3 linked regions of the Canis lupus familiaris genome follow. The protein of the gene in region 1 interacts with the protein of each later gene in a pairwise test. Links are inferred from orthologs where the notes say so. Each region holds a gene or a part of one and is shown on either strand. Other genes may lie near its edges.

The links. The genes of interacting proteins can lie anywhere in the genome.
Region 2: the proteins of AP1M1 (region 1) and ENTR1 interact in binary tests that used the Homo sapiens proteins (3 or more experiments, as listed by UniProt). The two-hybrid records come from large-scale screens. The link is inferred for Canis lupus familiaris from reciprocal best matches to the Homo sapiens genes AP1M1 and ENTR1.
Region 3: the proteins of AP1M1 (region 1) and ZBTB43 interact in binary tests that used the Homo sapiens proteins (3 or more experiments, as listed by UniProt). The two-hybrid records come from large-scale screens. The link is inferred for Canis lupus familiaris from reciprocal best matches to the Homo sapiens genes AP1M1 and ZBTB43.

Annotation. Positions count from the first base shown.
Region 1 is NC_049241.1:46,694,530-46,698,709, reverse strand, and holds part of AP1M1 (AP-1 complex subunit mu-1), read left to right. Parts: intron 1-3,042; coding exon 3,043-3,199; intron 3,200-4,180. UniProt on the Homo sapiens protein: Subunit of clathrin-associated adaptor protein complex 1 that plays a role in protein sorting in the trans-Golgi network (TGN) and endosomes.
Region 2 is NC_049230.1:49,080,759-49,085,699, reverse strand, and holds the start of ENTR1 (endosome-associated-trafficking regulator 1), read right to left. Parts: upstream 3,290-4,941; 5' UTR 3,222-3,289; coding exon 3,152-3,221; coding exon of another isoform or gene 3,074-3,151; intron 3,024-3,073; coding exon 2,874-3,023; intron 2,310-2,873; coding exon 2,241-2,309; intron 1,368-2,240; coding exon 1,252-1,367; intron 985-1,251; coding exon 571-984; intron 1-570. Other genes in the region: PMPCA (mitochondrial-processing peptidase subunit alpha), read left to right, coding at 3,474-3,547, 4,660-4,862. UniProt on the Homo sapiens protein: Endosome-associated protein that plays a role in membrane receptor sorting, cytokinesis and ciliogenesis. Involved in the endosome-to-plasma membrane trafficking and recycling of SNX27-retromer-dependent cargo proteins, such as GLUT1.
Region 3 is NC_049230.1:56,547,929-56,552,568, forward strand, and holds the start of ZBTB43 (zinc finger and BTB domain-containing protein 43), read right to left. Parts: upstream 3,290-4,640; 5' UTR 3,131-3,289; exon of another isoform or gene 3,108-3,130; intron 2,788-3,107; exon of another isoform or gene 2,179-2,787; intron 1-2,178. UniProt on the Homo sapiens protein: May be involved in transcriptional regulation.

The sequences.
Region 1 (4,180 bases):
CCTTTCTGTCACCGTCTCCTGGCCCCTCCCCTGGGATGTTGGCTCCTCTGGCTTAGGCCTATGGGTCCCACCCTCACTGTCCCTCTCCTTGGGTGGGTTTTGATTCAAGTCAGTGTGCAGGGAACTCAAGTTTGTACCGTAGTCCACAGTACTCACCTGGAGATCCATTGTTCTCAGGGACATCTCGGAGGTCCCACAGCTGCCACAAATCTGGCATTTCCCAAAATGAACTCGCTGCCACCCCAGGCCTGCTCTCCTCATCTCAGTGAATGACGCCACTGTCCACGTGCCTGCCCTCATTGGAGACCTGGGTATTATCCTGGCCTTTTTCTCCTCACCACCACGTTCACTCCACAAACATTCCCTGAGCACCCCCTGGAGTCAGGCTCTGTTGTGGATGCTGGGACATAGCCCTCAACAAGTTGGAAGTGGTCCCTGTTCTTTGAGTGTTCGACTCTGGTAGGGGGAACAGACCATAAAAGAAGATAGAGATTATAGTGAACCAGTGTTGTGGGCAGTGAAGGACAAGTGGAGTTGGGGTATGATCTCTCTGGCAGGGCAAGCAAGGAAGACTTTTTGGAGGAGGTGCCATCTGAGGTGAGGCATGAGAAGTTAGAAGAGGCCAAGGCATTCTGGGCAGAGGGAACTGCAAGTACAAAGGCCTGGAGGCAGGAGTAGGTGTGGATGGCTCACAGAGTGGCTAGGGGACCAGGATGGCTGAAATGGAATGACCTGGGGGTGGAACAGTGGGAGGGGGGGTGGGGGTGGGGCGAGATGAATGGAGAGGCATTGGCAGGGCCATGAAGAACCAGTTTGTCCTGGGGTTCAACTTGTAGTTTGTTTTCAGACACTTTCAGCAGGGAGAACCTTCTGTTGAAGGAGACCCCTCTTGCTTTTTGTGGGAAAGGAACTGTGGGGATCAAGAGCAACCATAGGGGCAGCGGTTTGTCACCGCCGCCGCGTTGCCTGCCTTCCTTCAATCTGTCCTGTCCCCTGCCTTTGTCTTCTCATCTGGGACCTGCAGCCCAAGCTCTAAGGCTGTCCTCACTCTACCTAACCAGTACCCCCAGGTCCCCCCATGGGCTGTGCCTCTCACTACCCTGTGGCTTCAGCCACCCTGGTCCCTCTGCTTCTATCTTTCCTCCCCCTCTGGCCTCAGTTGGAAGGTCACACCCTTGGGAGGTTCTCAGTTCCTCCTAAGCAAGTGTCACAATGCAGGCACCCTGTTGGGCCACCTGTGTCCCCAGGCCCAGCCTGGCGTATGGTAGAGGGGCACAGTGCCTGCTCTTTGGATGCGCGGGCCTCTCTGCAGCCCTGGTGATGAAGGCGAGCAAAATAAGTTATTCGTTCCTTTGAGCACTCTGGGGACCTTGGGGCTCCCTGCCAACAGCTGTCCCCCCCCCCCCCCCGATTGTGTACCTGGGGAAGAAGATGGGCCTTGCGAAGCCCAGGAAAGCAACATTTAGTGAGCAGAAGGGACCATGTAGGGGGTAAGAACAGGTTAGAATCCAGGCTCGCCTCTGCTGGCTGTGTGACCTCAAGCAGGTGGTGCCAGGTTTCTGGGTGTCACTGTGTATCTCTGTCAAAGAGAGAACGTGTACCATGTTCCGCTTCGTGGTATATATCCCCGGCAAGGAGCATATGAGAGGGTGCACGGGAGTTCCTCAGCCCGGGCCTGGTCCACATGCGCATGAGCTCACACCCACTGGGTGCTGGGTCCCTAAGAGGCCTTCTGGACCTCAGCAGGAAGAGGGCACAGACAACGAAAGAGAAACCAGGAAAGAGATTCTCGTCTGGACTCTCTCTGATTCTCTCTCTGTCCTGGCTTTACACAACAAAAGTGGTGTATTTTGTGGAACTATGAGCTCTAAGGCCGGTGCTGCCCAGCGCGCCTGCTCAGCAGGGCCCCTGTCAGCACGGCGCTGTCCTGCAGCCCCGTCGTCCCAGGGGCTCTAGGCAGCGGCTCCAGACAGAGCCTGGCGCAGCCTTGGGCCCCCCTCGTCCCCTCACGGAGGGGTAGCGCAGGTGGACCAGACTACCTTTCTTTGATGAGTTCAGTCACCGTGCAAACCCGGGAAACTCCATCGCCCCCTGGGGCTTCCTCACGCCCCTCGTGTCCAGCCCGTCCCCAGGCAGCCATTACGTGTTTTCTCTCACCGCCTGCGAGGATTTAAAGTAAGTGGGATCCCGTGGGACGGGATACGCCGTCTGTTGTCTGGCCCCTCACCTGAGAGCCCCCCGTGCTGCCGCCGCGTCAATAGTCATTCTCATGGCTGAGGGGCCTCCGGGCTGTAGGTGGACGCAGCTCTTGTTCCCGTTCACCTGTTGAAGGACATTGGCCCTCTCTCCGCCTGGATCTATTTACAATAAAGCTGCAGTGGACATGTGCCTACTTGTCTTCACAAGGACGTACGGTTTCGTTTCTCTTGGGTAAATACCTAAGAGAGGAACAGCTGGGTCTGAAGCTAGGTTTACCGGTGTGAGAGCCTGCCAGACTTTACCAAAGTGCTTATCCCATGTTAAGTCCCCAGGAGTAGTGGACGAAGGTTCCAGATGCTGCATGTCCTAAGCCACGGGTTATGAAAGAGCGAGAAAGAAGAAACAGCAGCACTATGCCATGTCCTCAAGCCACAGGGGAGTTCTGGTGGTTGCCAGCACTCAGCAGTATTCCCTGAGTGTGAGTGGGCACCCTGCCTCAGGCAGAAGAGCAGGGTGCGTCAGCATGGGAAAGGCTCTGGGAAGGCTGCAGCGAGAGCCTACAGGTCGTCTTCACCTGGCATCTCCCGCTTGACTCAGTCCTGGACCGTTGCCCTGCATTCCCCTTTCCTGCAGAGCACCCGGTTGGCCCCTGTGATGTTCACTTTGGAAACTGCTGTCCTTGAGGAATTCCCTGGGGGATAGAGATCAGGCCTGAGTCTCTGATGTTCAGGGATGTGAATAGGGTTCCTGTGCCGAGGGAGGCTGGCGCTCTCACCCCCCACCCCAGGCACCTGGCTGGGGAACTCGCAATGAAAGCAGTGTTCCTCCCCCACCTCCGCCCAGGTGCTCATCTGCCGGAATTACCGCGGCGACGTGGACATGTCGGAGGTGGAGCACTTCATGCCTATCCTGATGGAGAAGGAGGAGGAAGGGATGCTGTCGCCCATCCTGGCTCACGGGGGTGTCCGCTTCATGTGGATCAAGCACAACAATCTGTATCGTATCCCTTTGCGGGGGAGCCCCCAGGGGCCTTCCATTTGGGCTTGTGCATGTGCAGGCCCAGGGCTGGTTCAGGCACACCCTCCTGGAGCTCCCCGCGGCCTGAGGAGATGAGCAGGGAACAGACAGTAACAAGTGTGATGGGCGCTGGGAGAGGAGAGGGTATGGCAGGGGACCTCAGGTAGTCTGGGGATCCAGGAGGGCTTCTCTGAGAAGGGACACCTGGAGGAGACCTGCAGGAAGACCATGTATCCACTATCCAGAGCAGTGGGCAGACACCAGGAGCCATAGGCCTGGGAAAAGGCTCTGCAAAGGGGAAGTGAGGCTTATTCTGGAAGCCACAGTAGGGGTGGCTAGAGCATCGGGGGAGGGGGAAGGGCAGGCAAGTGGGGTATGGTGGGAATGAGGCCCAAGTGGTCAGCAACACCAAGGGGTCTCATAGGCCGTCACTTTTGACAGGAAGCCTTTGGAGGGTTTCAGGCAGATGGGGTGACATAAAATCAGATTTGCGTTTTCTGAAGGTTCCTGGCTGCTGAGCAGAAGCCAGACTGTAGGGGACAAGAGTTAATGTGGGGAGGGGACGAGGAAGCTGGGGTCATCCCTCGAGCCTTGCGTGCACATTACAATGAGGGAGGTCCTGGCCTGTGACCCTCGTCTGGCCGCCTAAGGTCCAGCCCCTGTAGCCTCTCTTTTTCCTTCCCCTCTCTCCAGAGGGCCTGTGAGGGGCAGCTCTACAGAGTACCGCTGGCAGCCTGTAACCTGGGAGTTGGCTGTCTGTGAAGCCACCCTGGGTCTGGGCGGTGGCTGCCCAGGTGTGCAGGTGGTGGTGGTGTGAGCTCAGTAGGAGCCGTCTGACCAGTTTCCAATTGGGTCCCAGTTTCATGCTTGGGCAGCCAGGGAGGAGATGGCAATGGCTCAATCCCTTGGGGTGCTGCTGCATGGCACCCCCTTCCTGCTCCCTAGTTCCGCTGTTGGGTAATAG
Region 2 (4,941 bases), on another chromosome or scaffold:
GCCTGTGTCTCTACCTCTCTCTCTCTCTCTGTGTCTCTATGCATAAATAAATAAAATCTTAAAAAAAAAAAAAAAAGAAAAGAAAAGAAACTGTATCTCACTGAAAAGGAGTCTGTACCTCTGCAAATTGGCTCTGGAACTGATGAAAGAATATTCTGGAAAGTCAACATACTGTTCACTTACAGAAGATAACCATGAATAGAATACTCTCCCTTTAAAAGCCTATGATCACGGAGGCCAGTTTTACTCCTCTTTTAGGTGATAATCATTTCTAAAAAAAAAAAACTTCTACTCCGAACACAGCGAGATGTCCCTGAGCGGGCCCTTTCCTGAAGGGTGGCCTTCGAGGGGCCTGAGAGGGGCTGCACCTCGCTGCCCCGCACACGGCTCTTCTGGTGGCACACCATGTACGGAATCCACCAACTCAGAGGACTGCCACATGGGAACTCTAGCAGACCATCTTGTCCCTGGAGCCAAGACCCCAGGCCCCCAAGGCCATTTAGAGGCTCCAGGTTGTCTGCTCAGACATGAGGTGCTGGCCAGGCACAGATGCAGAGCCCTCTCACTTACTGCTTCATAGCTTATCTGCAGTGTCCGGAGATGCCTGTCCCCCAGAGACTCTCCGTGAGCTACAAAGTCTGCACTGGGGCTCCCCGCTGGAGAGGTGTGAGAGTCAGAGTTGCTCAGTGTCCACGGAGGCAGGGTCTCGGGCCCCACCAGCTCCGATGGAGTGGAGAAAAAGGAGACATATGTGCTGCAAGGTGACGTGCTGGTGGCGACCCCTGAGGAGCGGGTCTGTTCCACAGTGGATGGCAAGTAGGCCCCATTCCACCCATTGTCCTCATCCTCGTCTTCATCCTCATCCAGAAGGTCACCAGCCCCCGTAGGGTCTTCAAAAAATGGCTGCTGATATTCCAGGCCATACCCCACAGTCTGGGAAGTTGAGGAGTTGCGGCTGAGTCCCAGTGAGTGTCTTGTGGGTTCCTAAAGAAAACAGTCAGAGGCACAGCTCAGACTCAGTAACCGCTAGCGACCTATCTTCCAAGGTGCTCAACAGTGGAACAAAAGGCCCTGTCCTGTCTAGCAGGGAAGAGGAGGGCTCCCAGCAGCTTCTCTACCCAACTTTCCCACCAGCGTGAGGGGCGGGCTCCCTTTCTCCCCCAGCTCCTGCCATGTCTCCCACGATGGAAGAGAGAGGTCCTCTGGATGTTTTTCTGTGAATAGTCATTGCAGATGATGCCTTGGATCTACCTTTGAATAAATCCTGTTGTTGGCTGTATCCTCTCCTGACAGGGTGAGGTTCTTGGTTTTCAGAAACTCTTTAAAGGAGAACGGATTGGCCTCTGTAAGATCTTCAAGTTTATCACCTGAAACAGGATCATACAACACAATTGCAAAACGTCTCCTGAAAATCATTAAAAAGGAAGCTCCACTTTAATTTTTCTAGAACACAAGAAAACAAAAACAAAAAAAATTTTTTTTCTAGAACACGACCACATCTAAAATCAGGACTTCACCCTTATTGCTCGCACTGATTCTAGGAAACGAAAAACCTAGCCAATAAAAGAGATGTACTTCCACACTCTGAATTCTCCTTCCTGGGGCACCTGGCTGGCTCAGTCAGTAGAGCGGCTTGGGCTTGTGAGTTCCAGCCCGGTAACAGGAGTATAGTTCCCTTATGAATTCTCCTTCCTGTTCCCAACCCCTTGGTTCCCCCACCTTGCTGCCCACGGAGACCACCCTCGGGATCTTTGGGAGGACAATGGGCCTCTACTCCCACACAGACTGTGTTAGTTGGCTTGGGGCACAATATGTGTTAGGGGCCGTCAGAGTTCTAATGGTACAGCTACATCGGGAATCAGTGCTCCACCTCTGTCCTTTCCCTGCTCACCCATCCATCCTTCCAGCTCTCCTGGTTCCTAACCAGTAACACCGTGGCCCTTTCAGTCCACAGCCATCTAAGCCCAGGTGCCAGCCTTGTGTAAAGCGGACTCCTGTTGTCTGAGCCCGTGAAGGCTCCTCAGACCCCTCTACTGTTACTTTCCATGTTGTGTCCTGCACGTCTCAGGTTCTCCCATCCCCGTACCCTCTTTCTACCCTAGGGTCAAGAGTCCATCCTTCGGACTCCACCCCACTTGGCAGACGAATTATATGCTGTCAAACTGACACCCCAGCACAGGGCACGTGCTTGGTACTAGGTGTTGGGGAGAGGGAAAGAGAGGACTGCTCAACCACCATACCTCCGAAATGTGTCTCTTGGGCTCCAGGAGGACCTTGCTTAGTACATTTCCCCTTTCCGTAGCCAAAATCTGCAAAGAGACGTCACTGCTTGACCATGATCATGGAGGCCCCTGTGACAACTTTTTTCCAACACGGGGTCTCTATTGCCATGATTCTCACAGGCCGGGGAACTTTTCAAACCCGAGGCCCCGGGGCTCCTGCCCATGGAGACGGTATGGCTTCCGTGGGCCCTGGCGTCTGTGATTCAGAAAAAGCTCCCTGTCGGATTTGATGAGCAGTGTTCGGTAGCGCAGGCCCTCCTGTGTCTTGAGATACCTCCTGAATACCCTCACAGGTGGCCACTCTCCTGAGACCCTGACACAACCACCTAGCTCTCCCTATGCCCTGGCTGCAGGGCAGCCTGAATGCTCCAGGGAGAGCGGGATGAACTAGCCCAGCCGCTGCCAGGGTCTCCTGGAAGGAGGTGGTCTGTGGGGCTTCTGCTGGGCACTTACCAGCCTACAGTGAGTGTCTGTACTTGGAGGGGAGCGCCCCAAGGCCACACTAAGTCGCTGGGTCAGGGGGGACTTAAGGCCACAGCAAGCAGCCTACAGGCCCAGCCAGCTCGGGGCTCCCTGAGGCTTGTCTCTCACCTGTGTCTCCCACGGAAGCTAGCACCGGGCTGGGCACATAGCACATAAACGTCGGCCGAATGCCGAAGAAGTGGGAGTCCAGGTCCCTGCCATGGGGGCGCTCACAGTCTAGCTGGGGGAGACAAGACCGGCGCTCATAGAACGCTGGAGCTGCAATAACAACGAGAGCGATTGGCCGCGCTCTTCGCGGCCCGCCTCACCTGCAGCCCGGCCCGGCGAGGCGGGGGCGGCCCCGGGGTCCGGCGGGCTCGGCCCCGCCGCCCCGCCCGGCCGCTCACCGTCCGGAATGACGAGGCTCCGGGCTCGCGACAGCGGAGGGACGCCCGGGCGGCGCGCGTAGCCCGCCATCGCCGCGGGCCCGGCGGCGCCGGCCCTCCCTAGCCCGGCAGCAGCGGCTCCATAGCCCCGGCTCCACCCCGGCCGCGGCCCGACTTGCCCGCCCCCGTCGCCCGCAGCCCGGCCGCCGCTCCCAGCCTCTCGCCGCGGCTTCCGCTCCCGGCACCGGAAGCGCGCGACCGAACGCCGTGGGCTGACGCCGCAGGGGCGGGGCTTCGAGGGCGGGGTCGGAAGTGACGACAGAAGCAGGGGCGGAGGCCCAAGATGGCGGCTATGGTAGTGGCGGCGGCGCGGGTGCTGCTTCGCGGCTCGGGCTCGTGGCGCTGCTCGCGGCTGAGGTGAGCAGGGGGCGCGCCGGGGGCCGGGGCGGCGCGCGTCCGCCCGAACGCTCAGTCTCTGGCTTCCCCACGCGCAGTCGCAGCGCCGCGGGTTCGGGCTGGGGCTTCGGGACCCCGGCCTCGTCTCCGAGGCGCTGGGGGCGCTTCCCTGCCGGGACCCCCGGGCCCGGGCTCCGAGCCTCATCCGCCTGTCCTCTCCCGGGCCGCTGGACCCTCTCCCGCCCAGTCCTCCCGGCCCGACGGGGCGGTCGGAGGCCACGTGTCCTCTCCGCCCCGGCCCGGTCCTGCCGCGGGGCCCCGTCGTGAGGCCGAGCCCGCGGGGCCTCGGTGCCGCCTCGACTGCAGCAGGCGCCGCGCGCTCCCCGCCCCCGCCGCCCTCCCGCCCTCTTGGCGGCGAGCAAGCCCTCCCAGGCCATAGTTGGTGGGGCCTCTCCCTGGTCCCCGGCGGCGGGCGCGCGGACCAAGCGGGAGCGGTCGCGTGAAGGCTTCCAGCTTCAGGAAGGACGGTCTGGCGGCAGGTAGCGGGACAGGGGCTTCAGGCAGCGTGCGGAGGGTGGCCTGTCCGAGCAGGTGGCATTGGTAAGTCAAGAGACGAGGAACGGAGGAGGGGCAGCCGCGGGGAAGGCGCAGGTAGGAGCAGGCCAGGCCAGACCGGGAAGAACAGCTGCTTTGCGGTGAGGACCGAGTGTGTTTAAGGGTGCCGCCAGCAGGCCACCACGAGGGGCCCTGGGGGTGGGGTGGGGAGAGCTCTAAGACAGCTGGGGGACAGGGCGTTGAGAGCTTTGGCTTGTGTGTGGACCCTAGAGGGGCTGTGTATGAGAGGTTAACCCGCATCACAGTGAGGTGCTGTCACTACTGTCTTTTACGAGAGACGAAGAACTGATTTCGGCCCAAAGAACTGATCAACTTGCTGCAGGCCCCTGGGCCGAGCCTGGATTTGTACCTAGCAGTGGGGCTCTGATCACTCCTGTGTGTCGTCTCAGGGTGTGTAGAAATCCACAGAACGGGATGCACTGAGTTTTAACTTAGACAAAACGTGACTGTGGGCACCCGGGTGCTCACCACAGGCTCCGAGGTGTCAGGTGTGCTGTAACTGGGCAACCTCTGTTTAGGTCCGGTGCCCCTTCGCGCAGACAGTTCAGTGGTGGTGGTGCCTATCCCCACGTCCCACTCTCTTCCCCCTTACCCGGAGTGCCTGAGCCTGTTTTTGCTACAGTCGACGGACAAGAAAAGTTTGAAACCAAAGTCACCACGCTGGACAATGGGCTTCGCGTGGCCTCCCAGAACAAATTTGGACAATTTTGTACGGTAGGAAGTAAGTACTGTTGGTGGTGTTGTGGGTCATCCTGCTTGTTTTCATGCCCACATACTTTCATTGATCGTTGTGCTTAAAC
Region 3 (4,640 bases), on another chromosome or scaffold:
GCCAAGGAAATGGTTTTATTTTTTTAATGTATTTATTCATGAGAGACACAAAGAGAGAGGCAGAGACACAGGTGGAGGGAGAAGCAGGCTCCCTGTGGAAGCCCAATGAGGGACTCCATCCCAAGACCCCAGAATCACAATCTGCCAAAGGCAGATGCTCAACCACTGAGCCACCCAGGTGTCCCAAAGACATGGTTTTAAATGTACTCTCAAATTCCTTAGCACTTGGAGTTAAGAAGCTCAAATCAAGAAAAGCAGAAGGCCGAAATAGCACTCAGTTTCAGGAAAATGATTAGCTACAAACCAACAAAATAAAGGAAAGATGTTTTCCTCAACATGTTACAAATAAGACAAAAATCTTTCTTTTCCAACTGTAAATAAAAAGAAGGGAAAAAATGGGATCCCTGGGTGGCGCAGCGGTTTAGTGCCTGCCTTTGGCCCAGGGTGCGATCCTGTGGTCCCGGATCAAGTCCCGCGTCGGGCTCCCGGCATGGAGCCTGCTTCTCCCTCTGCCTGTGTCCCTGCCTCTCTCTCTCTCTCTCTCTCTCTCTCTGTGTGACTATCATAAAAAAAAAAAAAGGGAAAAAATAAAAGTTCATAAAAACGTAGAGTACATTCGACTGATTTTAAGAGGCATATTTCAAAATTTCTGCAATCAGGATATGATGGCCAAGTGGAAATTTTAATGCTTGTCACTGCCTGAGACAATGATAGAGCATTCCTGAGAGCCACATCAGTGTTTCTGAAGGCACAAAAGAGGACACTGGAAAAGTATGGACCCAACTCTGAACTGAGAAGTATTCAAAAAGAGTAGGAATGTTAAAAATTTAACAAACACTTTAGCCAATTTATTTCACTTATTTTTCTTTTTATTTAGCATTAGAATGATGTCATTTAAAAATGTCTAAATAAGTCTAAAAATATTTTCTCACTAAGAATTTTTATAAGCCTAAATGATTAAAAAAGCACATGTCATAGCTAAATTGACGGTGTTTTTTTCTCCTTTGGTGGTACAGAAAACAATCAATGGTATTAGGATTCAATACAGTATTAATTCAGCTGCAATATCTCACAAGAAAGCTTGAAAAACTACCATACTGGCAACCTGATAGCTTAAATAAGAGAACGTAACATAAAGGCCTCCCCCATCAGAAAACACACAGGAAATGACACATAATTTTGCATTATCATAATAACAGGGCTATTTTTCCAACCCTAAAGTTTTCTTTATGTAAAAAGTAAAATCTTTCCTCAAATTTCCCATGGGTCTGCAGCAGATGCCTACACTGAATCCAAGAACATGGAGGGAGAAGAGCCAGGGCAGGAATTTGCCACAAGTAGAAAGCTTAAGGGAAGATTTTAAGCAAATTCTTTTAACTGAACTCCTTTTCTGAGGACATTAGCTATGACAAAAGCAGGTATCAACAAACGTAGGTTCAACTAAATATTCCAAAGACACACAAAATAAATTTTTAAAATCACATTTTCAAAGAGCTGCTTAGTTCCAAGCTTCTCCAAAGAGCAGTTTGGGTTGTTTGGTTGTTTGGTTTTATTCTGTACTGTGGTAAAATACACTTCACATAAAATTTGCCATTTTAAAGTGTACAATTAGTGGCATTAAGCACATTCACAGCATTGTGCAACCATCACCACTATCCATTTCCAGAACTGTTTTCATCATCCCAAACTAAAACTCTGTATTCGTTAAACAATAATGCTCCATCTCTTCCTGTCAGGCCCTGATAAGCTATATTCTACGTACGTCCCTATGAATTTGCCTATTTTAGATACCTCACATGAGTGGCCTCATAAGATATTTGTTCTTTTGTGTCTGGTTTACTTCTCCGGTGAGTACTTTAGTAAAGAAAAGAATGAATCCCAAATTATTAGGTTTCTTATCATTTAACTGTAGATACTGACACAATCTCTGAACTATGCATACAGCTTTCTCAGAAATCCTGCTATTCCATGAGCCCCATGAGGCAGAGAATCTTAGACTGACTATTCCTTAGCCTGTGGACAGGTCTAGTTCAGCAGCTGTAACGCAAAGAGCAGGCTCTTGAGAGCCCCGGAGGCCATCCTGGGGTAAGGGGCTGGAGCAAAGGGAAGTGGAGGGTTGTGCAGGCCAGAAAGCCATGCATAAAAAAAAAAAAAAAAGACAAGTATGTATCAAGATACTCTGGCCCTGAGATGGTCTCTGGTTTGTCTCCCACGAGGCGTTCCTGCACCGGCACACTTGGGCTGGGCGGCACCTGTCAGAGTTGAGGCCAGACTGCAGTGTAGTCACTGAGACTGTCACCAGTTGCAGGAAGCTTCACGGGGTCATGAGTCATTTTGCATGGCTCAGAGGTCCGGGCAAGCCTGCCCTGCTCCGCCCAGACAAACCTAGTTAGGAGACGCACAAACAAGAGAGAAAGACACAAAACTGGCAGAAACACAGACGGCCAAAGAGCAAGGCTGACAGGCAGGCAGGCAGGCCATGAATGAGAGTGAGGACTGAGAGGGAAACACAGGGTCAAGAGTCACATAAGCAAAGTAGAGACAGAAGAAGAAAAAAAAAAAAGGGGGGGGGGTGCAGATAGAGATGTGTGCTCAGCAAGAGAAACTGGGGAGAAATACAAAGTCGATAGTGGCGGAGTTCAGAGGCAGAAAGGGCAGGTGACAACAGGTGACAGAGACGTCAACAGAGGGGAAACACTACTTAGAAGCAAACGGAGGCAGGCACCAGCCAAGGCCGGGTGCTGCCTGTCTCCCGGCTTCGGCTCAAACCCGAGGCCGCCTCGCCGCACCCACACGGCGCCCCCGAAAGGCCGGCGGACGTTCCCAGGCGGGATCTCTAAGCGCTCCGGCCCGCCGAGGTCCGCCGCCGCGGGGTGACCTTGGGCGAGACGCTGCTTCGGGGGCCTTGGGTGTCGCGGCCCGCGCACCGGGCTGGCTGGAGGCCGCAGGAGTCGGCCTCGGGCGCGGGGACTCCAACCGCCCGAGCGCGGCTTCTTGAGCATCCCGGTCTGCGGAACGGGCCTGCCGGGCCGGGGGGCGCGCGCGCGCCGGGACCTGCGGAGGAAGCCCTTAAACCTCCCCGGCTGCCCTCCCTGTCCCCTCGCTACCTGTCGTCCCGACTTCGCCGTACCTGCTAAGGGCTCCGCGTTCACATAACCCGCCCGCGGGACACTTTCCGCCGCCAGCGACAGGCCCGTTCAAGCCGTAGCCGCCGCGACCGCCTCAGCCTGCACCTCCCGCCCCCGGAAACGCTTCCCGGTTCCGCCCCCGAAACTGCCAGTGCTTCCGGGGGTGCGTCAGAGAGAAAACGCTGTGCGCATGCGGGACTCTCCTGCGGGGCGGGGCGTGAGGGGAGCGCGCTGCTGCCGCCCTACTCCTGCGCAGTGCAACCTGGCGCGGGTCAGTTGTCTTCAGGGACTCCGGGTGAGGCCGGTGCTGGGAATGAGGGAGCTGACACCGAGTCCTAACCCCTTTTCAGACTTGATCTCTCTCATGCTGCCTAGCAGAGGCCGTGTCGAATCCATTTTTGTCTCCGAGGGCCTTTGGCACGTAGTGGATGCTCAGGGAATGTACAAGGACAGGAACAGTTCCATCTGTGCCAGGCGCTGTGCTGGGTCCCTCTAAGAAAAACCTCATTTTGTTCAGGTCCCAGAAGAGACCCTTTGATCTCAGGGGAGGTAGATCTTCACTGCTACTAGGAGGAATGCCTCATGGTTAGTCCAAACTATTCACAGTAATCTCATGAGCCAAGTGGTTAGACAAAGCATAGTCATGTGACCAACTCCTAGCCCATAATACTTTTTTATTTTTATTTTTTTTCTAGCCCATAATACTTAAAAAAAAAAAAGAAAAGAAAAAACAAACAAAAACAAAAAAACAAAAAAAGAAAAGAAAAGAAAGTCCAGTAGGACTTCTAGTTGAGTATGCTCAAGTGCTTTGCCACTTTTATTCTCTTCCTTCCCCTAAGCAGACTTGAAGGTTGGAAGTTCAGTCCCCATCACGTGCCTATGATGGGACAAGCAAATGCTAAGGTTGGCAAAATGGAAAGATTGAAAGAGCCTAGGTCTCATGTGACATTAAACTACAGTTCTAGCTTACCTCTGGATATTTTATTACATGTGCCTAACATTTCTTACTCAGATTTTTTTTTTTTAATTTTATCCATTTATTCATGAGAGGCAGAGAGAGAGAGAGAAAGGCAGAGACAGGCAGAGGAAGGAGCAGACCCCCTGCAAGGAGCCCAATGTGGGACTCCATCCTGGATCCTGGGATCACGCCCTGAGCCGAAGGCAGACGCTCAACCGTTGAGTCACCCAGGCGTCCCTCAGACTTTATTTCTAACGAAACCGAGGACTCTTCAAATATGACAGCAACAAAATATATTAAAATAAGAGGAGAGATATTGAAAGCACCCTTTTCAATACGTAGATAAACTTGTGAGGAAATCAGGAAAAATCATCTGAGGCCAGGAAGAAAGCAGAAACGCAAGCCTAGGAAGTTAGAGTTGAAGTTGAGAAGTTATCCAGGGATACAGTCTGCCTCTGTTCTGATTGCTTAGGGTGTGTGCTATGCTGATAAGTATTTTGAAAATCATCTTTGGAGATAGGTAAACAATGATGTTACTACTAGCTATAGGAACA